Lepisosteus oculatus: one gene and its partners. The protein of the gene in region 3 purifies or fractionates together with the protein of the main gene of each other region. This does not show direct contact. Links are inferred from orthologs where the notes say so. Each region holds a gene or a part of one and is shown on either strand. Other genes may lie near its edges. The genes, in order: polr2l, uxt, si:ch211-140b10.6 and polr1e.

Evidence for each region.
Region 1: the proteins of si:ch211-140b10.6 (region 3) and polr2l purify together in Homo sapiens (affinity purification with mass spectrometry; 4 studies listed by BioGRID and IntAct, with this or other methods). This does not show direct contact. The link is inferred for Lepisosteus oculatus from reciprocal best matches to the Homo sapiens genes POLR1D and POLR2L.
Region 2: the proteins of si:ch211-140b10.6 (region 3) and uxt purify together in Homo sapiens (affinity purification with mass spectrometry; 3 studies listed by BioGRID and IntAct, with this or other methods). This does not show direct contact. The link is inferred for Lepisosteus oculatus from reciprocal best matches to the Homo sapiens genes POLR1D and UXT.
Region 4: the proteins of si:ch211-140b10.6 (region 3) and polr1e purify together in Homo sapiens (affinity purification with mass spectrometry; 3 studies listed by BioGRID and IntAct, with this or other methods). This does not show direct contact. The link is inferred for Lepisosteus oculatus from reciprocal best matches to the Homo sapiens genes POLR1D and POLR1E.

Annotation. Positions count from the first base shown.
Region 1 is NC_090716.1:896,243-903,679, forward strand, and holds the start of polr2l (DNA-directed RNA polymerases I, II, and III subunit RPABC5), read right to left. Parts: upstream 3,006-7,437; 5' UTR 2,908-3,005; intron 778-2,907; 5' UTR 653-777; coding exon 558-652; intron 1-557. UniProt on the Homo sapiens protein: DNA-dependent RNA polymerase catalyzes the transcription of DNA into RNA using the four ribonucleoside triphosphates as substrates.
Region 2 is NC_090697.1:76,549,200-76,556,993, forward strand, and holds the start of uxt (protein UXT), read right to left. Parts: upstream 3,018-7,794; 5' UTR 2,973-3,017; exon of another isoform or gene 2,926-2,972; intron 2,623-2,925; 5' UTR 2,598-2,622; coding exon 2,512-2,597; intron 1,478-2,511; coding exon 1,396-1,477; intron 993-1,395; coding exon 925-992; intron 465-924; coding exon 357-464; intron 1-356. Other genes in the region: ER membrane protein complex subunit 3, read left to right, coding at 4,097-4,251, 4,809-4,866, 5,302-5,395, 5,656-5,760, 6,126-6,207, 6,628-6,707, 7,265-7,347. UniProt on the Homo sapiens protein: Involved in gene transcription regulation. Acts in concert with the corepressor URI1 to regulate androgen receptor AR-mediated transcription. Together with URI1, associates with chromatin to the NKX3-1 promoter region.
Region 3 is NC_090700.1:5,625,078-5,632,410, reverse strand, and holds the start of si:ch211-140b10.6 (protein POLR1D), read right to left. Parts: upstream 3,016-7,333; 5' UTR 2,725-3,015; coding exon 2,699-2,724; intron 1-2,698.
Region 4 is NC_090696.1:67,217,330-67,224,918, reverse strand, and holds the start of polr1e (DNA-directed RNA polymerase I subunit RPA49), read right to left. Parts: upstream 3,005-7,589; 5' UTR 1,946-3,004; coding exon 1,870-1,945; intron 1,410-1,869; coding exon 1,306-1,409; intron 855-1,305; coding exon 778-854; intron 514-777; coding exon 428-513; intron 160-427; coding exon 101-159; intron 1-100. UniProt on the Homo sapiens protein: Component of RNA polymerase I (Pol I), a DNA-dependent RNA polymerase which synthesizes ribosomal RNA precursors using the four ribonucleoside triphosphates as substrates.

The DNA of each region.
Region 1 (7,437 bases), on a different chromosome or scaffold from region 3:
CACACACACACTCCCCCCTCAGTGTACTCTCTCTCTCACACACACACACACACTCCCCCCTCAGTGTACTCTCTCTCTCACACACACACACACACACTCCCCCCTCAGTGTACTCTCTCTCTCACACACACACACTCCCCCCTCAGTGTACTCTCTCTCTCACACACACACACACACTCCCCCCTCAGTGTACTCTCTCTCTCACACACACACACACACACTCCCCCCTCAGTGTACTCTCTCTCTCACACACACACACTCCCCCCTCAGTGTACTCTCTCTCTCACACACACACACACACACTCACCCCTCAGTGTACTCTCTCTCTCTCTCTCACACACACTCCCCCCTCAGTGTACTCTCTCTCTCACACACACACACACACTCCCCCCTCAGTGTACTCTCTCTCTCACACACACACACACACACTCCCCCCTCAGTGTACTCTCTCTCTCACACACACACACACTCCCCCCTCAGTGTACTCTCTCTCACACACACACACTCCCCCCTCAGTGTACTCTCTCTCTCACACACACACACACACACACACTCACCCCTCAGTGTACTCCGCCTGCAGGAGCCCCAGGTACGCCTCCCACTTGTTCCCCACGATCTTGCCGCAGGTGAAGCAGCGCACAGGGATGATCATCGCCGCGGAGACCGGGACTCAGGCGGGACTCAGGCGGGACTCAGGCGGGACTCAGGCGGGACTCAGGCGGGACTCAGGCGGGACTCAGGCGGGACTCAGGCGGGACTCAGGCGGGACTCAGGCACCTGCAGAGGCAAGCAGAGAGGTCAGGCCCTCGGCCCACACGACCAGCGCCATTCCTCTGTCCGAGCCCGCGGGGGCACGTCACCCCAGAGACTCCTGTGAGCAACCCCTGCAGGGCGGGGTGCACCCTCACAGCCAGGCCTCAGAGTGGGGGTGCACCCTCACAGCCAGGCCTCTGAGCGGGGGTGCACCCTCACAAGTGGGGCGGATTAACGAACAGGCTGGCATAGGCTGTAGCCTAGAGGCCCAGACTGACCAGGGGCCCCTGACTGGACAGAATTATTGTTACTGTAACGAACACGCCCCTGCTCATAACTGAGGAAGGTCTTCTTTAGCTCAGCCAGCAAGACCCGGGTTCGAGCCCAGGCAGTGAGGGCACAAGCCCCAGAACCCGAATTTGTTACGTTATTATTATTTTGTAAGGGACCTGTGGGCCCCACTGAATAGCCTGTGACTCGATGATCGGATAGATGTGTAGAAACCAAGAGATCCGAGCCTGAAGTGTCGTTCGTCCAGCCAAGCTTTACTGTAGGCCTACAAGGAGCCACAATAAGGACCACAGGAGTTATCGCAGCTCAGGGGGGATATGACTCTACATCGCCTATATACACTTTTCTCTACACCCTTCCCCTCCTGTCTTTGAGGTAGCTTTCTCAAGAAACTCCAGGACTCAGAAAGCACTTAAAACATTCCTTTCTTATCAGCGAGTTTAGTGTAAACATTCCCCACCAGGGTGTTTAGTACAGAAGGTGGGAGTTCAACACAGGGAGGGAGAAGCATCTGTGCTCAAGCCAGCCTGAAGGGTAGAGTTTAGCATGCGAATTCAGCAGGAGTTCCCAGCTCCTACCACTCTATGGGTACAGAACAACATACAGATTCTGCGAGCAGGCTCCATCAGACGCCATGGGTTTCACAGTTCAAATGTATTCCGGCGGTGTTGATATCACTGTGGTGTCGCCCTGCGGGTCACCTTGGGTGCAAGTGTACGCTGGCTCTCAGCTGCGTGGGCGATAGAGAACGTGATAGCGGGGCCCAACGGCGAAAAGCCCAGCAGGAGGGGCGCTACTGAAAAAGTCCCCAGACGGACTGGTTATTTCAAGTCTGCCGGATCGTCGTCTAGTCGGCCTGAGCCAGACCCCGACCCCAGCCAGTGCTGCAACAACTGCGGGTCATAGCTGAGCTGCAAGGAAAACAAGACAGGAAACCTTCTACAGGTAAGAACGTGTTCTGGGGGGCCCTGCTGTTTGGTTTGTGGCCTGTATCTTTCGTATCTCATCGTGGATGCAGTGTCTTGACTGACTGACTGTGTCCTGGGATTGCTGGTGTTGTTCTTGTAGAAATGCGCTCGCCCAGGGTGCTCACTGTTCTCTGCTGTGCTGATCGTGTTGTTGTTGCACGATTTGTGTTCTGATTATGCCTAAATAAAAAAACTCACATGATTTCTGCTGTCAGCTCGCTGATTGGCTGTGAAGCTGATTTATTGGTTGCATTGGTGTACTTACAGTACAGGCTATGGTTGTGTGTGTGTGTGTGTCGCGTCATACTCCGTGTGAATCGGCGGTGGCAGCCCTGACTCTGAACACATCACTGAATTATTACAGTATTTTCTCTCGCTTGTTCCTGGTACTGGGATGACCAGGGGTGTCTACACAACCTGTAGCCTAGGGGCCTCCGATCACCTTCATTCGCCCCTGCTCTCACGGGCAGGCCTCACGGGGGGGTGCATTCTCATTCTCCGGCCGGACACCCCGTATCTCCATTCCTGCCCTCAGAGGCACACGGGAGACATTTCCACACACGCGTGATCACGTCGCCATGCGGAGACGCCGCGTCTCGACAAGACGCTCATCTCGCACACGACCTGAACACAGATCTCCCCGTTTTACAGCTCGACCCTGGCAACACGTCCCTTATCACTGCGGAAACACTGTTCATCATCCAGCATGTCTGCGATCTCTCTTCCCGCTTCTCCTCCATCACCAACCAGCCACGCTGAAGCTCGTTAAAGCGACTGAAACTAGACAGAACAGCTCCCTGCAGGACCCTCGATAACCTAGACCCTAAAATAAGTGCGTCCTAACTCCCAGTTTATACGAATTAAAGATAAATAGCTCGGAATTATTGACACTCACCGTCCACACACGCGTCAACCACACTGCCGGAACAGACCACACAGCGCCGCTGCTATAAAGAGGAACTAATGGGCACAGTACTATTAATGACGCAATCGTCGGTTATTATTAATCTAAAGACCTTTCTAATAGAATCCCATATTTCCATTGCCTAAATTAAACTTTGGGTTCATAAGGAAACAGGATTATAATACGATTCTTAGCTGACCCCTATTTTCTCAATATTGGTACGTTCTGAGCAACGGTGTCCCGGTGGGTCAATTCGTCCTCAGGGTTCTAGATTTTTCCTTTTGCGATTGTCGACGGCGGATTTCTCATCCTTTCATGAGGTCATCGAGCTTTTTTCTCCCCTGCTGTAAGAGCGCGACACGATCAACGGGATTACTGCTCCTGCCGCTGCTGTTGTTACAATATTTCCCTCACTTTCGTTAATGCATTTCATTCAAAAGCTTCTAGCCTCCCAGTTAGCGATGCCTGGAATTTACACGCTACGGCCATATCACTCTGCAGCTCACAACTGGCAGCCCACTGGAGCTCAGCTGGTGTGAGCCTGGCCAGTACCTGGATGGGAGACTCCTGGGAAAGCTGAGGCTGCTGCTGGAAGAGGTGTTAGTGGGGCCAGCAGGGGGCGCTCACCCTGCGGTCTCTGTGGGTCCTACTGCCCCAGTATAGTGACGGGGACACTTCAGTCCTTCGGATGAGACGTAAAACCAAGGTCCTGACTCTCTGTGGTCATTAAAAATCCCAGGGTGTTTCATGAAAAGAATAGGGATGTTACCGTGGTGTCCTGGCCAAATTTCCCCCTGGCCCTTACCAATCATGGCCTCCTAATAACCCCCATCTATGAATTGGCTTCATTACTCTGCTCTCCTCCCCACTGATAGCTGGTGTGTGGGGAGCGTTCTGGCGCACTACGGCTGCCGTCGCATCATCCAGGTGGGGCTGCACACTGGTGGTGGTGGAGGGGATCCCCATTACCTGTAAAGCGCTTTGAGTGGAGGGGCCAGAAAAGCGCTATATATAAGTGTAAGCAATTATTATTATTATTATTTAAAGAATTTATAATGACGTCCACACTCTGTGGGGGACAGGGCCTTCTCCTGCTGCGCCCCAAAGCTGTGGAATTCTCTCCCCACGGATGTCAGACAGTCTCCCGCCCTGAGAGCATTTCAATCTGTCCTCTCCATGCTCCAACTCCTGCTGCACGTCTCAGCGATCGGCTTTCCTTTCTGTACTTTGTAACTTGCTAGTCTTAAAACTGCTTTTTTACACCCACTGTAAAGCACTTCAGATGCAACTTTTATCTTTGATTTGTTTATTGGTCTTTCGGGAAAAGCAAAGATTATGACATGGTGCCGTATACAGTAATGACCAATCAGCAGGGCTTCACAGACGTGGGACCTAATCAAACTGTATAAACCCACCCACGATCTAGAAACAGGAAGACAGGAGGAGAAGAAAGGAGATCGGAGGTGTGGAAGAGCTAACTGAAGGGTAAAGAGAAGGTGGAGGTCTTTCCGATGGCTGGCATGATCTGCAAGCTCTTCGACAAGTGTGAAATGACGTTTTCCATATGTGGCCCAGCTGCAAATGTGGATTCTGGCCTGGCAGCCCTTTTCCGACTTCCTGAAGAGCTTGCAGGTCATCCCAGACATCTTAAAGACCTTGAAGACTGTGGCTTCTCTCCTCTGTCTTGTCACTGCCTTTTTTTCTTGATGCAACTCTTAAAGGCGGACTCGAAACTGTAAAAGTTTCTGAGGATGATGATGATGAACGTGTGGGAGGGAAGAGGACAGTAATCAGGAATCGTTCCCTGCTGTGCTGTCCGGCCTCCCTCCTCCTCCTCCTCCCCTGGGTCAGGGGTCAGGGGTCAGGGGTCAAGGGGTCGGGCCACATTTACTGTGACTCAGCACTCAGCAACTCATCAGTACAATTAATCCACAGGTTTCGATCTTCCTCGTGGATTCCACTAAGATCTACCTTGTGTGCGAGTCTTGTCTGTGTGTGTCTGTGTTAGTCTGTGTGAGTGAGTCTGTGTGCCCCTGTGAATGTGTGTGTGTCTGTGTGTGTGCCATGTGAGTTGTTTCTGTGAATGTGTGTGTGTGTGCCCTGTGAGTGTGTCTGTGAATGTGTGTGTCTGTGTGTGCCATGTGAGTGTGTCTGTGAATGTGTGTGTGTGTGTGCCCTGTGAGTGTGTCTGTGAATGTGTGTGCCCTATGAATGTGTGTGTGTCTGTGTCTGTGCGTGCCCTGTGAATGTGTGTGCCCTATGAATGTGTGTGCCCTGTGAATGTGTTAGTGTGTGTGTGTGTCTGTGTGTGCCCTGTGAATGTGTGTGTGTCTGTGTCTGTGCGTGCCCTGTGAATGTGTGTGTGCGTGCCCTGTGAATGTGTGTGTGTGTGCCCTGTGAGTGTGACTGTGAATGTGTCTGTGCGTGCCCTGTGAATGTGTGTGTGTGTGCCCTGTGTGGCTCCGGCTCCCTCACGCTGTCCTGGATAAACCAGCTGGAAGAGGGATGGATGGACTATCTGATATGTCAGTGCAACACAGCTGAAGCCACAGCCCCCTGCAGCCCAGCAGTGTGAGCCTGGCCAGTACCTGGAGGGGAGACTCCCGGGAAAGCTGGGGCTGCTGCTGGAAGAGGTGTGAGTGGGGTCAGCAGGGGGCGCTCACCCTGCTGCCCCAGTGTAGTGACGGGGACACTATACTGTAAAAAAAGGCGCCTTCGTGCGGATGAGACATTAAACCAAGGTCCTGACTTTCTGTGGTTATTTAAAATCCCAGTGCGTTTCGCCCTGTTCCCCAGTGTGGGCCGGACGGGCGCGATACCCGATGTGGCCAGCAGGGGGCAGCACGACACAGCCCAGCGCTCGGGCGCGGCTGTCAACCGAGCCGACGCGCCGTGACCTCCGTCACCGCGGCGCTGCGCCAGAGACCTTCGCCTCCGTTATCAGCCCTTATCAGTCCGCTCCGCTGCTTCACGGAGCGCCAGTACAAGGGTCAGCGGTATCGCCTGACGCCGCAGTAACCCTCCCCCGCCCGGCGCCCTCGCGGGGGTGGGCTCATCCTTCGGCTCCGCGGTTCAGAGCAGCGCGTTTATTGGGGAGCTGGATTTCCAAGACGCAGGACTGAGTTCGCGTTTATGGAGATGAATGAGTAAAGATGGAAAAGCGAAGATTCTCCCTCCCTCCACCAGCAGGCTGCAGGGGCACCACACTGGCACCCCCTGTACCCCAAACCCCCTGGTACCAGCTGCACAGAGGCGTATCCCTGACTGGAGCCTGCTCGAACCCGGGGACCAGGCTGCCCGACAGCTGCTCTGACCTGAGCCCCCCCCAGCTCGGCCAGGTCTCTCGGGGACCCCAGCTGCCATTTTGGGGGGGGGGGTCTCAGGAACACAGCTGAACAGACCCCTTGGGGTTTCATGGATCTGCAGACTAGTATGGTTGTAGATGTCAGTATCGGCCCCCTGAGGACAGTATGATTCATAACTACGATTTGCTAGGATTAACGAGTCTTCAGAGCCCTAACGAGCACTCTGTGCTGGCAGCTGCTCAGGGGTTACAGAATTACACCCTCAAACTGGACAAAGAGAACGCAGGGCATCAGCTATAACAGCACAACTGGGCAACTTGTTCCACACTCCCACCACCCTCTGTGCAAAGAAGAGCCTCCTATTCTGTTTACAACGCAAAAGACAAGCCTAGATCCCCTCTCTAGTCCAGCTTTATTACAGTATTCATTTAGACAATATTGAGAAATGCCCATTGAAGCTCCTAATCTAGTGATGCTAATAACCTTTGTTTCTAATATAGAGGATTTCGTCGTGTTAACTTGCAGGGTGGGTCCTCCAGTCTGAACCCCCCTCTTCTTAAACTGTACCCCAAACCCTGCCAGCACCCCACTGTGTGTGTAGAGCTACAGTGAGTGGTATTTATTCAGGAAACAGGTCCAGCACAGTCTTTTGTGTGTTTGAGAGCCAAGCGATCACAGGGCCTGCAGGTCTGGGCCCCAGCAAGAGCAGAGGATAAGCCCAGGGACACAGCTGAAACAGGGCAGGACACAGACATTCAGGCAAACAGCAACAGATGGTGATGTGTTTGAACGCAGGGAGAGACACACAGTGGGAGAGACAGAGAGACAGTGCGAGAGACATGGAGACACAGTGCGAGAGACAAAGAGACACACAGTGCGAGAGACAAAGAGACACACAGTGCGAGAGACAGAGAGAGACAAAGAGATAGAGAAACATGGAGACACACAGTGGGAGAGACAGAGAGACAAACAGTGGGAGAGACAGAGAGACACACAGTGGGAGAGACAGAGAGAGACACTGGGAGAGACAAAGAGACAGAGAGACATGGAGACACAGTGAGAGAGACAGAGAGAGACACAGTGGGAGAGACAGAGACAGTGGGAGAGACAGAGAGATGGGGTAGAGAAAGGGACAGTTTGTCCACAGTGTGGAGTTGAGATGTTCTCTTGCTTATGTCACTCCAGTGCTGGGATCACTGTGATGTCATGACATAAC
Region 2 (7,794 bases), on a different chromosome or scaffold from region 3:
CTTTATAAATAAACAGTTGAAATGCAGTGAATCCCATGCTAAGTCAGTACAACAGAATATATTTTAGGACAAGAAATTAATTAATTTAACTTATTGTCGTTCATTTAATTATTTATTCTCAATAGAAGCATGAAAATGTAACTTTCACCTCTTTATCATGCAATTAAACCAGCTCTCTGATATGCCTATAAAAATCTAATAAAAACAATACATTTTACAAGAGCAAGACAAATTCAATGCACAGAACAATTCAGAAAGAGTCCAGGTGAAAGCTCACAGATCCTGGGCTGAACTGATCACAGCCGGTAAGAGCACAGCAGAGCAGACTGCTGCCCCCTCCCCTCCCCGAGTCTTACTCTGTCAGCTGGCTGGTCTTCCTCTCTATAAACTTCAGGGCTTCGGGCAGCGTGAACTCCACAAAGAACCCGAATCCCACGGCAACGAAGATCTTGGAAGGATCCTCACTGGTCATAGAAACAAGGCAAAGCTGAGTGTGTCAACTACAGCAGACACGTGGTAAGCGAACCAATTATTCATTTAGCAATCAATACTTTGGCAGACACCTTTATCCAACGTGACCCATGTATATTTGCACAGCTGGGTGCTTCCCTGAAGGGGGTCCAAGCGAAGTACCACGCTCAAGGGCACAACAGCAGTGTCCCCACCTGGGATTCGAACCCGCAACCCTCCACTTGCAAGTGCAGATCCCTGACCACTGAGCCAGCTGATAACAGAGTGCTCCTCCTGAAGGCACGTTCCTGTTCTCTCACAGGAAATATTGACAAAAAAAGTCTATACCACTTCAATACCAGAAATCCGTTTTATTTTGAAGAACCCACTTCCTTAACAGATGTAAAAACCGGTGGTTAAGAAGCCAGGCCAGGAATCAAGACGGAAGACTCAAAACATCTCCGCTGTACTTACACATGAGCCTGGACATAAAAATTACAGCCCAGGTCCACATCCGTTTTAAGCTCCTTGCTTCCCGATTCCTGGAATAGGGAGACTGGTTTAAGAGTAAGAAAAAACAACCTAATTCACCAAATTACTCGAAACAAAAATCACAGCTGTGAGAATATATATATATATGTACATCTAATCATACATCTATAGTTCTTTATGTCAGTGATTTATGTTTTAATAAAACTGCTCCAAAATCCGAGGTGTGCTATGTGACACCTATTGGCACATAGCACATTATTAGCGGACACTATCGCTACAATGGAAATAAAATAATAGCATGAAATTAAAGAGATAGGTATTGAGATACCAGTTCACATCATTCCGAGTATATATGTAAACACTGCATTTCACGATTTCAAACTTCCCTAATGTATAACTACTGTCCTACAATATAACCCACACTGTAAAGTGAGAGGCAGGCGAGTGCTGTACCTGAAGGCTTTCAATCACGTTCTTCAGCTGCAAATACTGGGCGATCTTCTCGTAGATCTCATCTCTCTGCTCCAGCACCGTTCTGGCACAGTAACAGACAGACAGTAGTCACGGCGCCGACACGGCGACAACACTCGCCAGGTAACCCCAATGGCCGAGAGATGAAAACGATGTTCAGGGTGTTTTTACTTTGAGTTCGGGCATCTGCACCTCCTCCTCCCCGCCCCCCAAAAACCGGACCCAGGCGTCGGCTGAGCAGCCAGAAACAGCCGTGAGCCGCAGGTGACCTCGGTCTGTCGCGGGACGGGAGACCGCGAGTCTCTGGGCTCCGGGTGCGACAGATTAAATCCCTTCATCTTTCCAAGCTACAGGCTCCCGAGTCCCAGCCAGCACCCCGGGTGTCTGTGCTGTCCTGTTGACAATATCTGCATGAAGGTGAGGACTTCTGTACAACTCATCCACTGTGTGTCTGGGCAGGGCCAACATTGACTTTAACGTGCTTATGGACGAAACATTAAACTCTCTGCTTACATCTGGTTTTTCCCGTTTACAACTGTTTTTTTCTGCAATATATCTAGGGGCTTGTGCAATATATTTTTATATTTATAATGTGCAATACAACTTTCTGTTTTTTGTATATTCTGTACTGTGAGCAACTTTTTTTAGTGCACTTCTCACTGAGTGTACCGACTGTATTGTATTGTTGTATTATTGCATTACACTGTGCTCTGTTGACTGTGCTAAACTGCTGTTGCACTGCAATCTCCCTCACGGGATCAATAAAGTATCTTCTTTATTAAAAGAAAACTCTCCCCCTCTCTCAGCAGAATTTACACAAGAGCTCACAATTTCCTGAAATGCATCAGACAGCTGTACATCTGGGGGAGTGCCTTGAGCTAGAGAACAAAAGGCAAACTGTGATTTTTTTTTGGGGGGAGGGGGGGGATCACGGAGACAGGACAGCAGTTTATCCAATCTGGTGAAGCACACAGCTTCAGTTTTGCACTATATACCGGACAACTACAGCTGCGACAGGTAAAACATTGGGATTAGAACCTGCATTTAGACTATAAAAACAGAAACAAAATTCCACTCTTCGGCCCCCCACACACTTACTGCAAATCTCGCTTCAAGACCTCGTTTATAAACGTCTCGTATGCAGAGACTTTTTCTTCAACTTTCCGCCTGCCGCCCGGAGTCATCGTATAGTCTCAGCAGGGCAGGAGCCTGTAGGAGAGACGCACGGTGTGAAAATGAAACAAACACTGACATCACCCCTCGCCCGATTTACACACCTATCGTAATCAAACCCGATACAAACAGATCATTTCTCGGTGCTCAACGATATATTCCCAACGCCACGTTTTCGTTAGGCATGTCTCTCCTTGCAGAATTAATCTCGCTTTGAATGTCACCCAGATAAACCACGTCCCCTGCTTATTGAACTGCTGCTAATGCAAAAAAACATAGAAAAGCAGATGTGACACACGGTGTAAAATAGTTTTTCAAGAGGCGGAAAAGTATATAAACCTCATCGATTACTGAGATCGTGAGAATCAAGGGGAGCAAATTCATACATCATATGTTTTCATCCACTGCACGCGTCACTCATGGGCTTCCGGGTTAAATGTCAAGACGTTTTAATGTCATTTTGTGTTTTTTAAATGTGGTGTAAATAAATCCATACATTGACTTGGAAAACAAATACGGTTCGTTATCTATGAGCGTTTTTTTTAAAAAAATATATGTGTCTTATACGTGAATTTATTAATTTGCGTTACTGACGCCGGGGTCAAAGTTTAAATTCCCGTCCTTATTTTTAATTCTGGACATGTGGAGAAGTCCTTTCAGGGTTCACAGGTACCTACCTACACACTCACACGACACGGGTGTTTTTCGAGGTCCTTATCAATACTGAATAAAGTGGGATTAAAATTGCTTTCGGTGGGGGGAAATTATAACTAAATGTTTATTTCCAGCGCCGAGGGCGGAGCGGGGATACCGAACCGAGCCCCGGTCTGTGGTCGCGGAGACCCGGCTGGCTCTATCGCTGCAGGTGTTTAATGGGTGGCGTTTTTTTAATTAACAAAACCTCTGGTATTATTTCGACACAGGCCTCGGTACATATAGACGTCTCTGGCAGTGTCCCGAGTAACCCAATAGAAAACAGGCGAGTGTCGGAGCGGTTTTCGGCAGCAGCTGGGACAGTTTCACAGTTTCGCACTCGTAGCTCCTGTGAAGAGCTGGACGGGAGATTTGCTCTGATCTCCTTCGTTTTTTGTTGTTGTTGTGGGGAGTTCGTGTTAAATTCGGTGCCCACCGAACAACGTCCTCAGCTCAGAAGTCACTGAAAAGAAAAGTGTCAAACTTCTAAAAGACCTAATAAGCGACGCTAGAAAATACAATACTCATCTGGTTGAAGTGCCAAACCCGGTTGTTAAGTTGAATCTCCTTGTCATCGTTTTTTTTTTTTTTACCGTGTACCGTGTTGTTTTTACGGACGCGAGGATATCCAAGTGTTTTCTGAAGTTTCTCATATCGTTGGGTATTATTATCGCGGTCTACTGTTCTGTGGCCTACTTCTTGTAGGATAATGTGCACCCAAAAAACGAACTTCAGTGTGTTTGTGGTGTGAAGTGTTCGGGCTGTCCTTCACCTGCCGGGGCTCGTTTTCAGGGTGTGTTGACACAAGCGAGTCGCCATGGCCGGTCCGGAGCTGCTGCTGGACTCCAGTATCCGAGTCTGGGTCGTGCTGCCCATCGTCTTCGTCACCTTCTTCGTGGGGGTCATCCGACACTACGTCACCCAGCTGCTGCACAGTGACAAGAAAGTGGACCTGCAGCAGGTGTCCGACAGGTGAGCCCAGCGGATTTCATCTTTCCGGGGGCAGAATCGTGAAATGCTGCAGGAGTTTAAACAATCGTTGTTCGTAGATGTTGGTGGGAGATTTCACAATCAACTTGAAATTGACAAATCAGTGTATGGTCTCATATCGAAGTTATTCTGCAGGTGAAGTGTTGGAAATACATCAACTGTAAGATCAATTTTAGCTTATTAGCTGCGGGGAAATATTACCTGTGCAGAAGGTGTCTATAGGCCTTAAGTTATATGGGAAAGATTGGCACAGCACCAAGTGATCTGCAGCTGGGCTAGTACAGAGATTGAGATTAGTTTTGTGGCATGTGACCAGGCTCTGATCGACTGAAACAGTTGTGCAGAAGTGGCCCCGAATGTAAAAAGAGCAGAGGAAACAGGAAGCTCTGTGTCATAGCCCAGGGCACTGCCCAGCCCTCTGGTAGAGCCCTGTGCGTACCAAGCCAGCACTAAGCTTAGATAAAAGAATTAAAGTAGGACGCAATGTAAATATCAATGTAAATATTACCGCAAGTAACTTGTTATATCTGTTTTTGCAGCCAAGTGTTGCTCAGAAGCCGTATTTTGAGAGAGAATGGGAAATACATCCCCAAGCAGGTAAGAATGTTATCCTGGGCTTTCCGAGACTCTGGAGCATCCTAATGAAAATAGTTTTGTCCTTCATACTGGATTTGTGCTGGGTGCTTCCGACTCTCAGGTTAAGAGCTGATGTGAGCTACGCTTTCTGTGCTTGGCTTCAACTGAACTGGTCGTGAGAAATGCCGTGAGCTCCACTGTGTCAGGAATCGGTTGGTTATCCTCAGCTGTGTGGATCAATGATCAGAGCACTGAGAAGGTTTCAGCAGAGATGGTGCTCCTCTCTGGAATCAAGACGGTGTGGGTCTCTGGACTGGGTCTCCAGATGTGGCGGAGCTGCCCGCTGTCTGGGGAGCGAGGCTGCCCTCGTCTCGCGACGCGCGCGCCTCGTGTTCTGCGTGACGGGGTGCCGGCGGAGCTCTAGGCGTGATGCTCTCCAAACGCTTTTCTCTTCAGTCCTTTGCGATGCGGAAGCACTACTTCAACGATCCCGAGACGGGGTTCTTCAAGAAAACCAAGAGGAAGGTTGTTCCTAAAAACCCCATGACAGGTGAGAAAGAGGAACCGTCCCGTTTCGTTCGTGGTGGTGGGGGGTTGAGGTGCTTTCATTCTCAAAATACTAGAGAATTGAAGCAAACCGGGGAACCTCACACTCTGCACGCCCCCTGTCCTGAGCGCTATTTACAGGAGTTCGAACTTGGCATCGTACAGTGGGAAGAGTTATGGGGATTTGCTGCTGTTTAGTTTTGGGGTGTTGGGGTTACCTCTCACCTGGTGTGTCAGCTCCAGCCTCTGACTGGTCTTTTGCAGATACCAGCATGCTGACGGACATGATGAAGGGCAACGTGACCAACGTCCTCCCCATGATCGTGATTGGCGGCTGGATCAACTGGGCTTTCTCCGGGTTCGTCACCAGTAAGTGACTGTTCTGTTGGTCTTTCAGAAGAAATGAATGAATGCAAATGAATGTGACCCCTGCTGGAAAAAGATCAAGGTATTTCCCTAGCAGTCCACTTGCAATTCAATCAATTCAAGCTTTATTATCCTCTGGGGGGAATTTTGTTTCATGGCTGAGTCCAACTCAAGCGATACACTGCTGGACAAGTCGGGGGTGGCAGTGATAGAGAGAAAGGAGTTACCCCAGGAGGAGTTTTGTTTCCGCCTGTGAAGGGCTTGAGCTCTGCAGTCAGGGGCTGGGACATGAGCCCAGCTGTGTGCAGCCTGAAGGTCTAGCCTGCCTACTGCCCACTGATCCCCCTGTCTTCTCTCTCTCCGCACAGCCAAGGTGCCCTTCCCCCTGACCCTGAGGTTCAAGCCCATGCTGCAGCGCGGGATCGAGCTGCTCTCGCTGGACGCTTCCTGGTACGGCTTCGCACCGGTCTGCCCTCTCGCCCCCTCCAGGCCCACGGCTGCCCTGGCCTTGTTCGCGCTGTTCGTTCTGCTCTGGCTGTGAGCCTCGTGCCTGTCCTTCGCTCGGCTGGTCCCGGGTCCCGTAACGCCCCCAGGACACCACGCCGTGCGTCGGGGGACCCAGCCTTTGGAGAGGCAGCCCCTCGTCTTCCAAGTTCCCTTCCTGACCCAGTTGAAAATGCAGCTTCTGTTGACTTTTCTAAATCTAAATCCTCAATTTCTCACTTATATCTATTTTTATTGTATATTCTGCTACTGTATTTTGTATTGTGTCTTTTACGTAAAGTGCTATGAGAGAGCTCTCTATTGAAAGGCGCTGTATAAGAATAGAATTGATTGATTGATTGATTGTCCCCATCTTTTTCTGTGTAGGGTGAGCTCGGCGTCCTGGTATTTTCTGAATGTCTTTGGGCTGCGCAGCATGTACAACCTGATCCTGGGTCATGACAATGGTGAGCAAGTCAGAGCTGGATCCAAGGCACCCCTGTTTCTCTGTTCTCTCCGGCCGCTGACTAGTCCACAGAGCAGCGTGCCTTGTCTGCTCACTAATAGGAGAGATAGCTGCAGAGCTCTTTCTGTCTCGAGAGCAGATGAAAAATAACTGCTCAGCGCCAATGCAAAGGAGGCACTCAAGCACGACAATTGAAATGTTTGCTCCTTTGGTGGAGCTGGTTGGTTACATTATCCATCCATCCATCCATCCATTCATTTACCAACAGCTTTATCCAGTTCAGGGTCGTGGGGGAGCTGGTGCTTATCCAGGCTATCAGAGGGTGCAAAGCAAGATAAATCCTAGACATGGTGCCAGTCCATCACAGAGCACAGACATGCACACATACAGCTAGTGACAGTTTCCCAGAAGTCAATTCACCTTCCAGCATGTCTTTGGACCATGGGAGTGTTTTCTTGAAGGGCAAGAGAATCCCGTGTTGATGGATTTTAAAATTTGTTGAGAGACTCTGTGCTTTCTGACCTCAGTCTAAGCTGCACCCTTCAATGTCCCTTCCAGCTGCTGACCAGTCCCGCATCATGCAGGATCACATGACAGGAGCTGCCATGGCGATGCCCCCTGACCCTAACAAGGCGTTCAAGGTGAGAGAATTCTCTCCCCCCCCCCCCTTAAATTTTCTTCCAGGTCTCCTGAAAAGCCAAAGACTGGATGGGTTGAATCCGAAAATGAAAAGAGCAGATGGTGTTTTTTTTATCCTGAATAATATCCATCATGTCATGTCATTTGCCAAACCTCTTTATACCGTACGGTGTCGCAGGATGAATAATATATTGTAGCGCTCTCGGGTTCATGTGGGTATGCGCCCTTGCCACTGCCGCCTCAGGTCGGCTCCCCACCGCTGGGGACTCGAACCCGGGCCTCTGGCATCACTCAACAGGGACCCAGCCTCTCGAGCTAAAGGGAAATCTCCCATCAGCCCGGCGGCTGCGGTCTCTGCTATTCACAGGGAAGGGCGGTGACGTCACCACGCTGGTAAGTCGGCTTGCACAACCTGCAACGGTGGCCGTATGCGTTACAATATATTATAT
Region 3 (7,333 bases):
ACAGCCCTCACTGGCAGCGGGGGTGAGTTTATGGCTGAACAGTGCTAGGTGAGCTGCCACCCTTAAGCATTGCGATTGCACTCCAGCACAGCCACAAAACATTTTATATTTCACCGCAAAGTATTCTGAAATGTGCAGAATTAGTACAAATGCTAAATAGATAGATAATACTTTATTAATCCCATAGGGAAATTGATGTGTTACAGCAGTCCAGCCCAAGACAAGCAAAACAGACATCAGAATAGTTATAAAACAAAAGACAAACAAGATAAATAAAAATAAATACATAGGTGTGTGCAAAATGTGCTGATCATAGTCACTGTAAAAACAATAAAATATGTGCAAAATGTGCATAGGTTTATACAGACTGATTGTCCAAAACGTACAATGGAGCAAACATGCTGTCCATAGAGGAGCAAATGAAGGGCTAACAGTCCTAGCCTAAGGCAGCGTTATACACCCTGACAGCTGGAAAGACAGGAAAGACATGCGGAAACGTTCCCTTGAACACCGTAGCTGGAGCAGTCTATTGCTAAATGTGCTCCGCTGCCCAGTAACAGTCCCATGAAGAGGACGAGAGGTGTTGTTCATGATGGCTGTGAGCTTGGTCAGCATTCTCCTCTCAGCCATCACCTCCATGGGGTCAAGGCTCATCCCCAGCACAGTGCCAGCCTTCTTGATGAGTTTATTGAGCCTATTTGCATCTTTTGTCATGATGCTGCTGCCCCAGCACACCACAGCGTAGAAGATGGCCGCCGCCACCACTGATTCATAAAAAATGTGTAGCAGTGTTCCACACACACCAAAGGACCTGAGTCTCCTAAGAAAATAGAGTTGGCTCTGACCTTTCTTGTACAGGGCGTCAGTGTTACCAGACCACTCCAGCTTATCATGCAGGTGTAAATGGCCGCCTCTCAGAATAAATCTAAACTTCGACCAATAAAAATGGCGCACTAGGTGCTGGATGGCAGGTTTTCATTGAGTAGAAGCAGGAAATGTGTCAAACAAACGGCCACTGTCAAATATCAGGAATGGTGCTACTGACTGGCCAGCGGGTCAAAGCGTTGAATAAATTCACACCTAACACTAATTTAAACTGGTTTAATAGCAAATCACAATTCCGTATTTACTGCGATACTGCAATCAATGTGTAACAATTAATTTGACAAGTAGAAATGTTTTATGAATTGAAATTTTGCTTCACAAAGCTAGAGGGCTGTAATTCCAAGACTGACCTATGAAGTGCTTGCTGTGGCAAAAACAGCCGAAAAGCAGAACACAAAGCTTCCTTCTGGGAGTCCCAAGACATTCTCTCTCACCCCTACTTATGAATCAGGTTTAAGGAAAACATGTCATTTAATCTAGTGTGGCAACATTTAACAACTACAGTATTAAATCATTCTGGCCTGGCAAGCAGTCAACTACTTTATACTGAGCTGTATAAACACCGAAAAGTCAGGAATATGGGATAATTATAATTATAATGTTTTCTAAACCACCACAAGGACTATATTTACAATGAAAAATTCATAATGAGCTTTTGCCCTGACATCTTTGCCCTTTGAAATGCAGAATCTGTGCTCTGACAGCTACATCTGCTCTTGTCAGCAGTTCTTTTCTAAGTTTGTTTTGGTGGATTGCCATATGGAATAATAATATAATTTACTCATTCCTTCTTAAAAAAAAAGAGAAATCTATTCACAGCTGCATGCCAAATTGAAATTAGCATGTACAGCAAACATGATATGAAGCACCATTGATCTAAAGTGAAAAAACTTCATCAGCAGCAGGTTTTCAGGAACATATACACTACATTCTCTACAGCTTTATATTAATTCATTCTTCTCTTAAAAAATGCACTAAAACTGCTGAAAAAATAATTCGAAAAAAATCTGTTACATATCATTAATGATCTTCCAAATTCCACTTCTTAAGACTGTAACGAACTTCTGTTCTTAGTTTCATTCCATGGAAACTGTCTAATTAGTTTTGACTGTTAATGTTGTACAAAACTGTGGTTTTACCCATAATAGGTGACAACGTAAAAAAATGTCTGATCTTCGCCAGCTTCCGAGCGGTGATCATAGTAGTGTGCGATACATATCAGACATGTATAGTTACTAACAGCTTACCTCAACCTTTTAGTATGTTCTCCTATTACACGTGTAATAGAAAATTCATTGAATTATTGAGCAATGCACAGGACGTTTTTTTTAACGTGAGTATTTAATAAGTTCAGACGATCGGTATGGTTAGTCCTGTAGTAAAATATTTTATTAGAGTATTATAATAAAATGAGCAAGGATCAACAACACAGTAACAGATCAGCCAGTTCATTCAACGTGTTAAGAATTGAAGAACGCAACATTAACAAGCTCTCGGGTGGTATTACTAGTAATTTATTCCGTTGTAAACAAACTGATATATGGTAAAGCGCTAACTGCAAGTACAATAGTTCACTAAGTGTTTCGTTAATGATTTTTGATTATTTCGAATTACTCGTATTAATATTAAAGTCATTGGAAGCATTAATTACAGCACATTAAGGAAGCGGTACTGATGCCGTGATCAGCACAGTACGCAGTGATACCTGCTTCAGCCGACAACCAGCGGCCGCGGCTCCAACTCTTTCGAAACCAGCACGCTGTTTCAACATTTAATGTTCAAATCTGTCGACATTTTCCACCGCTGTACTCACTTCTCCAGCTCTCGATCCTCCTCCATTTCAAATACCACACGCCGAGACGAGACGAGACGAAACGAAACGACAGCACTCAACGCCGTCTGCTCCAACTTCCTAAACAAGAGCTTCCAGGACCAGTAGGACCCCTCCGCGATTGGTGCCCTCGCAGATGCCGTACTGCGTCGCCAGCGCTAAAATCGCACTGAGTGATCGCAGAAAAGCATTCTTTGGCCTACGTGGCGCTCAGATCATTTTTTAAAGCGACTTCTTGGTGCGGCAGCCATGAATAGGCGGTGCTCCGGGGAGCGATCGCTTAGCAAAGCACCGAGGCGGCTGTGTTTTGAGTCAGGCGCTGTGAGGGGGTGCAGGGCGCTTCCTGCTACCATGACATCACGCCGGCCCCGCCCCTCTCCGGTGAGCTCTGGGCAGGAGGGCGGGTGGGGCGGTTCTCCTCCCCCGGTAGGCGGCGAGGGCGTCAGTCCGCCGTGCGGTCGTGCCCTGTGTGGCTCAAGTGAGTTTTGATTGAGCCGCAGAATTGTCCCAGGTCCGAGCTGGAGTTCACAGAAGGGCGGCGGCGAAGAGGGGGTGGTGGGCACGCTGTAATAGGTAATGTACTGCGGTATTCATTTGTTCGTCCGGTATGCGTTTAAAATTTTAAAATAAGAATGTCGCCGCCTCCGCCACGATTCGAAATAGTTACTTTGTTCAGGAGGACAGAAAAAAAAACGTGAATTTTTTCAAAGTGTCTCATCGTACTCTTCTTGGGGAGTGTAGTGTAAATTGTACTGCTTGTCAATAGGCGGATATTATTTGATAATACATGATCTGCATGTGTTACTTACACCCCCTTTCTTTAAGTGAACGTGATGGATGCTTCGCTTAGGTGACAAGCCGTAGAAAACAGCTGTACAGTCTGCTATGAACAGTGAGCACTTTCAAAGATGTGTCCATGATTTGAGGTACAGTTCTTTGTTGCCGTACAGTATATAGGTTAAACGAGCAGCGAACATAGTAGGTAACAAAGACATTTAGACGAAATATCGATTTCAGTGCTCAATGTTAAACGCCATCTGTATCAAATTCCCCGGTTCCTCACTGGCATTCCTGCTGACAGATCTGAGACGGCGGACTCAGTGCACGCTTTCCTCTGCGTTGGTTGCTTGTCATCCAGCCACGGTGGGGGCACCCCTTGAGTTTCAAGGAGAATGACAACGACTTTGTGTGAACAAAGCAACACCTAGAGAACAATAACTGTTGGTGGACTTCGCTTTCCCTACTTCGACGGCATTGTCTAGTCGCAGCCTGGTGCCGCGAATGAATTGCTCGGAGGATCAGCGTTCTTTGAAATTCATGATGCATGAAAAGCACACGCTGGGCACACCTTATAGCAGTCATAATTTGTCTGTGTTTTAAAATGTGCGGTAATTGTGTCATTTATCTGAGGTGTAAAATGCAAGCCTGCATGCTACACACAGTGTGGCCTAGATTTTCTGAAATATAGTGTGCTCCCAGTGTATAGTGTGCACGCTCTTGCACAGAGACTATAAAAGATGAATTGAACTCCAAGGCTTTTCAGGTCAGTGCACCAGATGCAATATATATATGTTCTGGCTTATATAATGGTATTTTTCATTTCAAGCTCTGTACAGTTGCACTGATGTGGTGTTAAAAGATTTAGCGACCTAGTCCTGGCAGTTTGCGCTCTCTCGCAGTCCTACAGGGTGGTGAGGAGCGCGGACAGAGGTCAGACATCTTGTGTCGGATTGGAGCCTCGGGGTGCAGAGGGCAGATTGGTGTCCGCAGGGCAGTGGTCTCTATGGGGACAGGCAGCTGTGGGCATGTGAGGAGGCTGTTCGTGTGGACAGACGCCCCATGTGTCCACTAACACTAGACGAAAACCCAGTGACCATTTCCGCCGGATTCCTCCAACATGCAGCGTGGATTTAGAGTAAAAGTAACAGATTCCCTGGGAGAACGAGAGACTCGCTGGAGTTATCTGGCATCGAGCTACAGCTGCAAAGTAATTTGTAGGTTGTGTGACAGTTGTAAAACAGATCTTACACAAACTGGTGTTTAAATTCAAACTGCATGCCTGTTTCTCTGAAGAGCCTGGCATGAAGCTTGGGCCGGGTGGTTTGTCTTGAGTCTTGCTTTACTCCGCTCAGAGTTGAACCTTGCACAATAATGTAGGGGAAGAACAAGCCAGGAAAACCAGGCTGTTGATATACAAGGCTGGTTTCATTTCAGAATCTTTGCCCTTGCTGCTGTCACAGCCGAGCTTTGACGGCGTGGTACGCTGTTTTATCACAAAGAAGCACCCTGCGAAAGAACCTCCGCTGCTACCCATAAGCATAACATTCCACAATAGGTTGTTGTTCTGGAGGAACAAATGCTTTTTTTTTTCTCCAGTTTGTGCGAGTCAAAACGCATTTTTGCAGCGTGACCTTGTGCCAAGCAGTGGAACACTTGTCAGGCTCTTTGGCTCTAGGAGCTCAGCACTCCTCTTTTGCCAACATGTGTCTTTTCCACTGACCTTTCCACCTGAAGCCTCCTGTAGCGATCAAGGCAGAGCAGTTTTTTGAGGGCAGGCCGTCTGAACAGCCGGGCTGGGTAGCTCCCTGCATCGGCTTTATCTGGTCAAAGAGATCTCAGGTGACATTGGAGCTGCTAGGGGGTGGCAAGGAGAGAGGGCTGGAGGTCTGGAACGTATACAAGAGTGTTCTGGGCTCAGAATGCTAATGAGGACATGAGTCTTGTAATCCTGCTTCCTGCACAGACCCACTGTACGCAGTGGTACATCAAAGGGGTCCGAAGTGCAATAAATCATCTCTAATAGCAATGAAAGTGGTATCACGCGTTCCAGTCAGTTCTAAGTCACTCTTTGTCAGGTCCTCTTCATCATTAATCACCTTTGTCAGGTGCTCTATTCACATCCCTTATGTTGAGAAAACTTCTTTTTATGCTACAGTTCATTGATCTCCCAGGATGAACTATTAGCTATTAAAAAATTGGGTTCAGTTTCCATTGAAAATCGTCGTAGGAGTGTGTTTCTGCAAAAGATGGAAAAGCACTTGAGTGAAAGGAGAAGAACAATGCAAAATGTCTAGGAGAGTATGTAAAGCCAGGATCCTGTTGTGATTCTTCTGCAGAGCACATTATTGAGCACAGCTTTTCCTCTGTTGTCTCAATATGTTGTTGGGGATAAAGGTATCTGGAAGATCAATGTCCATCGTTACTATTAAAGACAGTTTATTGCATCAGTTATTGATGCTGTGGGATTGATTGACTCCTTGTCTCCGGATTGCCCTAATGGTAGCTGTCTCTCGCAAACCACATAGCTGGAATCTGGAAGCCAGATTTATGTTTACTGTGCTACTCTTCCCCCATCAGACTGCAGTCAGGATTCAGCTATTCATTTTCATTAAACCTATTAAATTAATTTCTTAGAGGCTGCCTTCTGAAAGCGAAAGCAATCAAATTTCTAAGTGAAAAATGGCTAGACTTAATGATTATTGATTACGAAGTACACTGAGTGTCTTTGCTCCTCTTTATTGTCCTAATCAAGAGGTTGGGTAGCAGCTGTCACCGAGCGCAAGTTGAAACGCATAATATTACAGAAACGGACCAATGAATCGGCATAAAAAATGAAACCATATCATAACAAAAAGTGTTTAAAATACCTTCCTTTCTCTACAGTTGACTATGAATGGTGAAAAGGATTTTTGACAAAGTGCAAAATATAGACTGGAACTAAAAGAATTCCTTTGAGTAAAATAAACTTATCATTGAAAATTAAGTAAGTAGGCTAATGTCCAATATTGCTTTCCAGTCAGCCGGGGGCGTGATATGTTAAATCACAGCAAGATGCTAAATTTGGAAAAGGAAATGTTTGTTGCTCGCCTGGATGCACAGGAAGGTTTATCCTGTCACCACAGACCTCTGGGAGTCATGCTGCTGCGACACTGGGGATAAAACATTGGCAAACATTGGTATTGTCAGTATCAGAAACAAGGTTTCATTTGTATCAGGTATCCCATTATTTTAGTAAGTGCACTAATGTAATAAAATAGGGGGTGTGGATATTTAAATAAAGATGGGTAAAATTATAATCATAGAATTATAATATAAAAGTTGTGTCCTGACCCCAGGTTGCCTTGTAAGCAAATTATTTGTGTCAACGCTTAAAGGCAGCTGCTTTTCTTGTCTTCTTGGACACACTTTTCTATGCTACCGGTTAGGTAACTGTAAAAAAAACAGACAACAAGCTTTAGCAGAACTTAGCCCCCCAGCTGAGCTGCTGTAAAAGAGAAAGGGGAATCTGCTTCTTATAAAATGAAAGCCCCTACATTGGACTGAATCCCTTCCTAAAAGGGAGCTAAGCAAATGTTACATATTAGTAAAATTCCTTTCTCCATTCTCCAAATAGCACATCACTGCATGCCACAAATATATGAGAAAAGTATTTTTACAACTATACGACAGAAGTTTCTAAAACCGGGAGTTTTAGAAACAGTCTGGGTGCCTACAATGCTGTTATAGGAGAAAGAAGTCATCCGAGAGTCGGTCTGTTCAGTGCTCAGACTACCTTACAGCAAAGATATCTGTCATCTGCTCTGCAAAGGAGGAGCCCTCACACAGCCTTGTTCTTCT
Region 4 (7,589 bases), on a different chromosome or scaffold from region 3:
ATCTTGAGAAGAAACTAAATACAACCTTGCTTCCCCCATTCACAAAGCATTAGAAGCAGTCGAGTATCAAGAGATCAGATCACTTTAAACACTACAGTACCTTTTCTCTGTAGGACTTATTCTTGTGCTCCAAGGCGTCAACTTCAGTTACAGTTTCACCTACAAATATGCATGCAAGCATGTAAGTATTTTTGATAAATCAGAAGGATACGCATTAGTTTTCCAAATACAGAATAGACAACTCCAATGTCTAAGAAAAAGGCTGTTAAGGCAGCAAAATCTGTCCCCGCTGCCATCGATAACTACATGGATTTTAAACGTTAGAGGTTTAGACACAACATTAAAGATTTGCAGTATGTCATATGGGAAAATAAGCGTTTTAGCAAACTAGGTGCACTACCCAACTGATTTGGAGACATCAGCATACCTGGAATTACTGGCTGCATACTGAACAGCTCCACATTGTGCACATTCATTGTCCTGGTTTTTTTGTCCAGAACACCCACATAGTACCTGGGGAATGAATACATCATGCGTTAGTGTAGCGAAAGGACACAGGTACAGTGTTTGGTCACATGACCCCAACAGAACTGTGTAGAGAAAAAGCTTCTCTCAACTTTTGTTGACTTCATGATTGCATTCTCTCAGAGTGCAGTTCTTCACTGGTCAAGAAGCACATATGTATACATCCGTAGAAATTACTTTTCAGATCCGGGACATTTTCTGAAATTTCATCAGCAAGCTTTAGGGAAACATCTTCCACCTGCAAAGACTTACTTGCAAAGTGTGTTACATTTCAAGGCTTCAGCTCCATAATTATTCCCAACGTAGCAGAGCCTGTCTGTTTCTGCAGCCTGTGACAAAACACAGGAGACAGAACCTGAGTCATCGGGATACCAATCTAATATTAACCTTCATCTATTCGTCATTTTTCAATAACTGCTTAATACAAGACCGGATCACAGTGACAAGGGAATTTACATTTTTTTAGCCGTTAACAAAATTCCAAAATTGGTTATAGAGAATGGCCCCTGCAAACCATTTTGCTATCAAATCATTTCCGATTTCAGTTTGTATATATTTATACCGGGTGGAAGCAGTTTATTTGTGGAAACTATGGAGTTTTGCTTTTTTACTCGAAAATGTACTCAAGAACATGCACATACTGAACAGCACAACAGGGTTTAAAGGGTTTAATTAAGCAATTCAACTACTTACATATTAGCGGACAACAATGACAATAAAAATGCAGTTGTTAGATTAAAGTGGGCCGATACTTAAATCTGCAACTACATTTAAACGTACCAGAATGCGCCTGTTCTTCTTTCTTGGATTGCTGAGATCAGTGTTTCTGTATAACGTGAAGTCGACCAGGTCGGCGTTTCTGAGTTTGCCATTGGAAAACTGAACTGCAGAAGAAGACGTGGGAACCAGCTATGATTAACTAAGAATGTAAAAAAACTCAGCAAGGCATTATTTCGGTCTCTCAGACTAAGACAATCACCACAACGGTCAGAAAGACTCCAGGTTTACACTATAATCGTCTACACTATAATCTATCGTTTTCTTTAGTATCGATCTAGAAACCAAAGACCTTCAGGATTATACACCTAGACAACCAGAGCTGGAACTCCTTGAATTTTAAAATTAAATTAAACTTATTGAGAAGGTTTAATCATAAATTACGTTTATCCAAAATCAGCTTAAGTGTAAAACGTGCACTGACTTCACTCACAGTCGTTTTACTACCACGTGTACGACCAACATTGCAGCAGAGAAAATATATTTACGAATACGATTTTTTTTTTACAGCCGGTATAAACTGGAAGAGGCGGACTGTCTCCGTTTTTGAAGCAATTCGCGGTATACCTATTGCGGCAGGCGGCCGTTCCTCCCGTTCCTCCCGTTCCTCGTTGCAGTGTTTCCAAACATAGGAGGCTGCCATTTCTGTGCTCGGCCCTGAACCCGAAAGCGACTTCTGAGCCGGCGGGCGTCAGCGGCGCTTATAACCGACAGCGCCCCCTAGCGGCGAACTCCGGCTCTACACCGCCCACTCGGCGACAAACTGGCTTGAGTCGGGCGTTTTGTTTGCCATCGTTTGGAAGGCCTTTCATTCACGTTTCAGGTCCATACGGTTGGATGTGTTGGGATTTGTACAATACCGGGAAGAGAGAACATCTGCTTTTGTTCGGTTGTTTCAAAGCACAAATAAATAATAAACGTATGTAGTTCCATATAGGGTTCCAGTAAGGAGCTGTATTTTTTTTCCCCAACGGGTACAATACACAGCTACTATTAACAAAAAAAAACAGCATAACAACAAATGAGTTATTTTCTTAGTCTCTCTGACACTCGCACCAGGTTTTTAAAAATCATATCAACAGCACTAAAGTCATCAGATACAAAATAACATGCCAGACTTCACAAACCCCAGTCCACCATCAATCGGTCCAGAAGTTTCTAAACGCCAAAACATTACGAGGTACAGTAAGGTGGTCAGAGGAGTCAGAAACGTAAACTTCATTGACATTTGAAACCCTCGTTGAGCATCTTCTTGGGGATTTGTAGGATCGTATATCACAGGATTCGTTTTATTCAGGAAATCGCTGCTCGTTTTCCATTTTTATCAATACTCCAATCCCTCTGACTTTTTTATTTAGGTTCCCCTGTCGTGCTGTAGTGACAGTTTTGAGCCTCAGGAAGAAACGGCGGTTGTCCCGGCTTTAGCGGATCAAATACAGAGCCAAAACAACAAACGTGTGAACCGTACGACGTTGATCAAGTGGAGGATATTTATTTTTAAAAAAGTTTAGTAACCGGTCATGAATATTAAGCAGTTTCCTAATTTAGTCGAAACGCTGCTGGTGTCCAGCGTCTTTTTTATTCATGACAGGAACGTACCAAAAAACACACACACACACACGAAACACCACAAAAATAAACCCCTATCCTACTGAGTTGCAGCCCGGCTCTCAATCGTTTGGGCTGTAGCTACAACAAGCGAGGTGCTCTGTAGGTTTTTTTTTCTCTCTCTCTCTCCGGGTTTTCGCGGCTTGTTTCTCCGGCCAGTGAGAATCTGCCGCCCCGGAGTGAAATAACGGGCCCCCGGCGCTGCGGTGCAGCAGTCAGAAAACGTCACTCGTCTGGGATATTGCTTTCCCGTTCCGGTTTTTGCAGATTTGCAGGAAAAGGAGGGGAACTTTTTTTTTCCCTCTCTCTCTCTCTCACTCGCTTTCTCGGACTGTTAACCCCCCTGTTCCGGGGAAACTACTTTTGTTGTTGTTGCTGTAAATGTCGTTTTTGGACAGCGGAGGCATCGAGTCCGGGTACATGCTAGAGGGGATATCGTCGTCCTGAATCACACAAGGTAGGCTTTGCGATTCCCAGTCTATTCCCAGTTTTATCCTGGGCAAGCCTCCCCAGTGCACGGCAGCACGCAGGCGCTGGATTAACAACACAGACATCAGACAGACTGGTCCTGCAAGACAGCGAAGAAAAGGGAGGAGAAGACCCCCTTCGTGGACAGGATTTCTCTCCGTGTTCAATACATCTGAAGACGCACAGGACGGGAAAAAAAAAAACGCCTCTGTTATCCGGCCTCTCAGTTGGGCTTCATGTGATATGTTCCCAGGGGTGTGCTTTGTTCTGATCTCGGGTAAAAGGTAACGTGTGTGTGGTCTTTTTTTTCCCCCTCCTGCTGTTGTTTTTGGCCAGTGACACAGATCAGAAAATAATGTAAAGCAGACCTGTGTGAGACGGAGAGAGAGAGAGGGAGACAGACGAGCCAGACGAGGCTCCTGGATGCAGAGCCGAAAGCCTTTTTCCTGGGGGGAGGGATAAATACAAACACAAAACTGAATAATATCGTCTGCATGAGGGAGATACCGACAATTAATGGCAGCTACTGTATTCTGTTTATCTGGAAGTAAATACCTCTGTGGGTTTAACCTTTATCTACGAGCCGAACGAATTTGATCGGAACAAATCATATTATTTCGCCGTTTCAGGACCAATTTAATCTAATACGATCTGCAAACTATGCCCGCTTGCACGAAGTGATGGATCCACAAGTCCGATAGGAAAAGAATAACCGAATAGAAGTAGCTGCATATCCTCAGCCGACGGCGATGTGTGCTTTTTTTTATTTAAAATAATTGTGCCAAGTCTTCGAGATCGCCAGTCTGATTTTGCTGAATTTAACATTTTTTTGGTAATGCATCCTCAGTGTAGTGCGATATCGTTACAGAGTGCATGGTGATATCTCACAGCGATATACAGTTCGGGGGGCGAGGCTGCGTTTGGCAGACGTTACCTTGAATGAACCTCTCTCGGCTGAACTGATTGACAACACGCAGCCCGGAGGTTACGCCGGGCTCTGGGGCGCCTCTTGCTCGCCCAGAAACCCGGGGCTCCTGGCCTGACACCACATTCGCATGCTTTTGACTCCATTTGAGAGAAGGGGGCAGACTATGAAGGTGTTGCTCTTGTTGTCACAAAGCAACGCGATGTTTCAGAGACTTGGACTTGATTGCGTTTGCCCCTCATTGGGGGGGGGGAGTCGTTTTCAAAAAGTGTTTTATACGTGGAGCCAAAAACATACTTTCGACGTATGTGTGCATCTTGTCTTGGACCGGGGGGGTGACTGTAATGTAATTTGGTGGATGTGTAGCTTTTTGAAGTAAATTCACTGTGAATTCTTATCCCGTCGTTTACATAAATGGGCGAATTAAGATGTGAAAGATAAACATGATGTCAAATGGAGATCCTTTCTTTTGTGTTTTTTTTTGTATTCATGCTCTTGAGTATAGTAGCTGTTTTCTTTGCGCGGGTTGGAATGTAGAGAAACTAGCATGCAGAAGAGCTCCTGCTTATTCTTACTTCTTACCGCCTATATACCCACGAAGCAGGGTATTTCACCAGTAGAGATTGTGTAGTCCAGTCATTGTTGTAGAGAGGGTTTGTTCTTATCTGTCTAAATAAAGAAAAATATTAGAAATGTTCGGAGCCATACAGAACAGCACTGAAACATGAGAAGCATCAATCCAGTTTTTTGTGGTGAAACACTTTCCCTGATATCCAAGGTGCCCTCAGGATCTGCCTTTCCTTGAGAGACAGTATCTATTCTGGAGCCCAGGAAGAGGGTATACTGCGTTATTGCTTAATCAGTATATAAACTGGCTAGGAAGTGTCCAGAGGCCCAGTCAGGTCCACTTCCTGTTCTGGTTTGCTCCTCTCCGAGGGGAGGTGGGAGGGACGAGAGATGGTGGATCACGGAGTGTTGGGCCTTTAAGTGATTCATGCCTGTTGGCTGAGGGGATGTGGTTTGTCCTGGTCCTGAGGATTCGGAGGCACTGGAGTCTGTCTGTCAGTGAGCGTGGCGCTCTGAAAGAGTTTACTGTCTACAGTAGTTGAAAGATAAGCAGCCCTACCACATTCGTGTCAAACGGAAATTACTGTTTTTTTTTTAGAATTGAGTGTATTTTTTTTTGTACTTTTAGTTGTACTTTGTGTTTTTTGATGAGGGAGATTTATCCATTTAATAAAAGGTGGAGCATAATACAAGTGTGCAACAATTGTACAACAGTTTTAAATACAAAGCAAATAAGCCATACAGCAGTGCTGTTGTTTTCCCTGTCACTGGGCAGAGTAGCAGTGTTTTCTTTTGTTTGTGGCTTAATTACAATACCTGAATTACTGTAAATTGTTGTTTGCTCAAGAAAGCTAAATCCTTGAAGCAGCTGGAACCTTTTACAGGCAATGAACTAAGAAATCTGCAGAGTGCAGGACTAGTGATGAGACCTTTGCGTGTTACTGTTAAATCCGACATATTTCATACTTTTTCTTTCTTGTAAAACCAAAAATGCAAGATGAAAGCTGTAAAGATGAATTTGGAAACCTACAAGAGTGAGCTTTCTTTGGCAAGATATCTCCAGGTGTATTTCAATTTCAGTCACTTTGCATAGACAAATGCTGCAGATATTGAAATATTTCAAATGCTTTTTCTCTCTGGTCAGATTAATTTGTACAAGAGTGTGCGGCTCATGAAGCTCTCATCTTTCAATTGGCTGTGCAGAGGAAGTCTTCATTTCCATCCTCAGAGCTCTGCTACAGTATTGGTGGATACCAGTAGCACTGTCTGGACTGTATAGAATAGGAAAGGGCAGTTTGAACTCAGAACTAGCTATGCATCAAGGAAAGTTAGTTCTGGATAAATCAAATTGCAATTAATCCAGAAGCTTTGTTTCAATGCACTGCCTAACTCTAGGTCTGTCCCTATTCTTGTATATATTAGACCTAAAACATAATTAACTCTTCATAAAAGTCTTAATGAAAGATGAACATAGTCTAATTAATATATAGTTGGATTATGTGATTTACAAAATGTTCTAACAGTAAATGACCTTTGGAACTGGTGGCACCTCCTTCACTTGCAATAACTTACACTGGATGTGTACTGTAACTGTTTATCTGTCACTCGTATCAGCTGTGAGAAATGTGGCCCATTCTTCCTTACAGAACTGCTTGGAGCCTCCATGAACAGCTGAGCATGAACAGTTTACATCAGGTCCTTCTATATCATTTCTGTAGGGTTTAGGCCAGGATTTTGACTTGGTTATTTTTCTTCTTCTTCTGCTGTTGGTGTTATGGATCTGCTTGTATGTTCAGAATTGGTGTCCTGTTGCATGAGCTGATTTCAGCACAGCTGCAGCTGATGAATGGGCAGCCTCACAATCTCCTCCAAAATATGCCGATACAACACAGATTTCATTGTTTGTCAATGATGGCAGGTCATCTGGTCTCGAGGCAGCAAAGCAACCCCAAACCATGCTTGACATGTTGGGGTGAGGTTCTTCTGTTGGAAGACGGCTTCTGATTGTTTTTCAGTCTCGCCAGAAAGTTGTACTTTTGACATAAGTGTCCAGAGTATCTTCCTGCAGTCCTGTGGATTGTCCAGGTGATCAAACCTTTCATGGGTGACGTTAGAGAGCAACGATTCCTTCCTGGCTATGCTCCCACGAAACCAGCTCCAGTTCAGGTTTTTTTCTGATGATTGAGGTATGAACGCTGACATCAGCCGCAGAGATTCTTGGGTTTTAGTTTTTGTGACTTCCTGGATGGGTTTTTCGAGTTTCTGTTGGGAAGATCTTAGAAAGACACCCAGTCTTGAATAGAGTTATCACGGTCTTGAATATTTTCCACTTGTAGGCAGGAGGCTCACTTAGCCTGATGGGAGATGCAAGGATCTCACCCCGCTGTTTCTGACAGGGTATTGGATTCAGAAAGAAGGCTGTTTGGTAGCTTGTTCCACATTTCTCCCTGGTGTCTGGGTGAAGAAGTGCCTCCTGTTCTAAGTTTTAAATGTATTTGCTCATAGTTTCCCCTTGTATCGTATGGTTTGTTGTCACTGTTTGCTCTGAGGAAATGCACAGGATTGACAAAGTGAGCATAACTCACTGTAACCACTGCGTCTCTAGAGAGACCATAAGAAAAGCTTGTTTAAATAAAAACAAATAAATACTCATACGTATTAAATAAGGAAATTCTCTACAATCGCTTACAGGAAGTTATCTTCAATTTCTTGGCTGTTG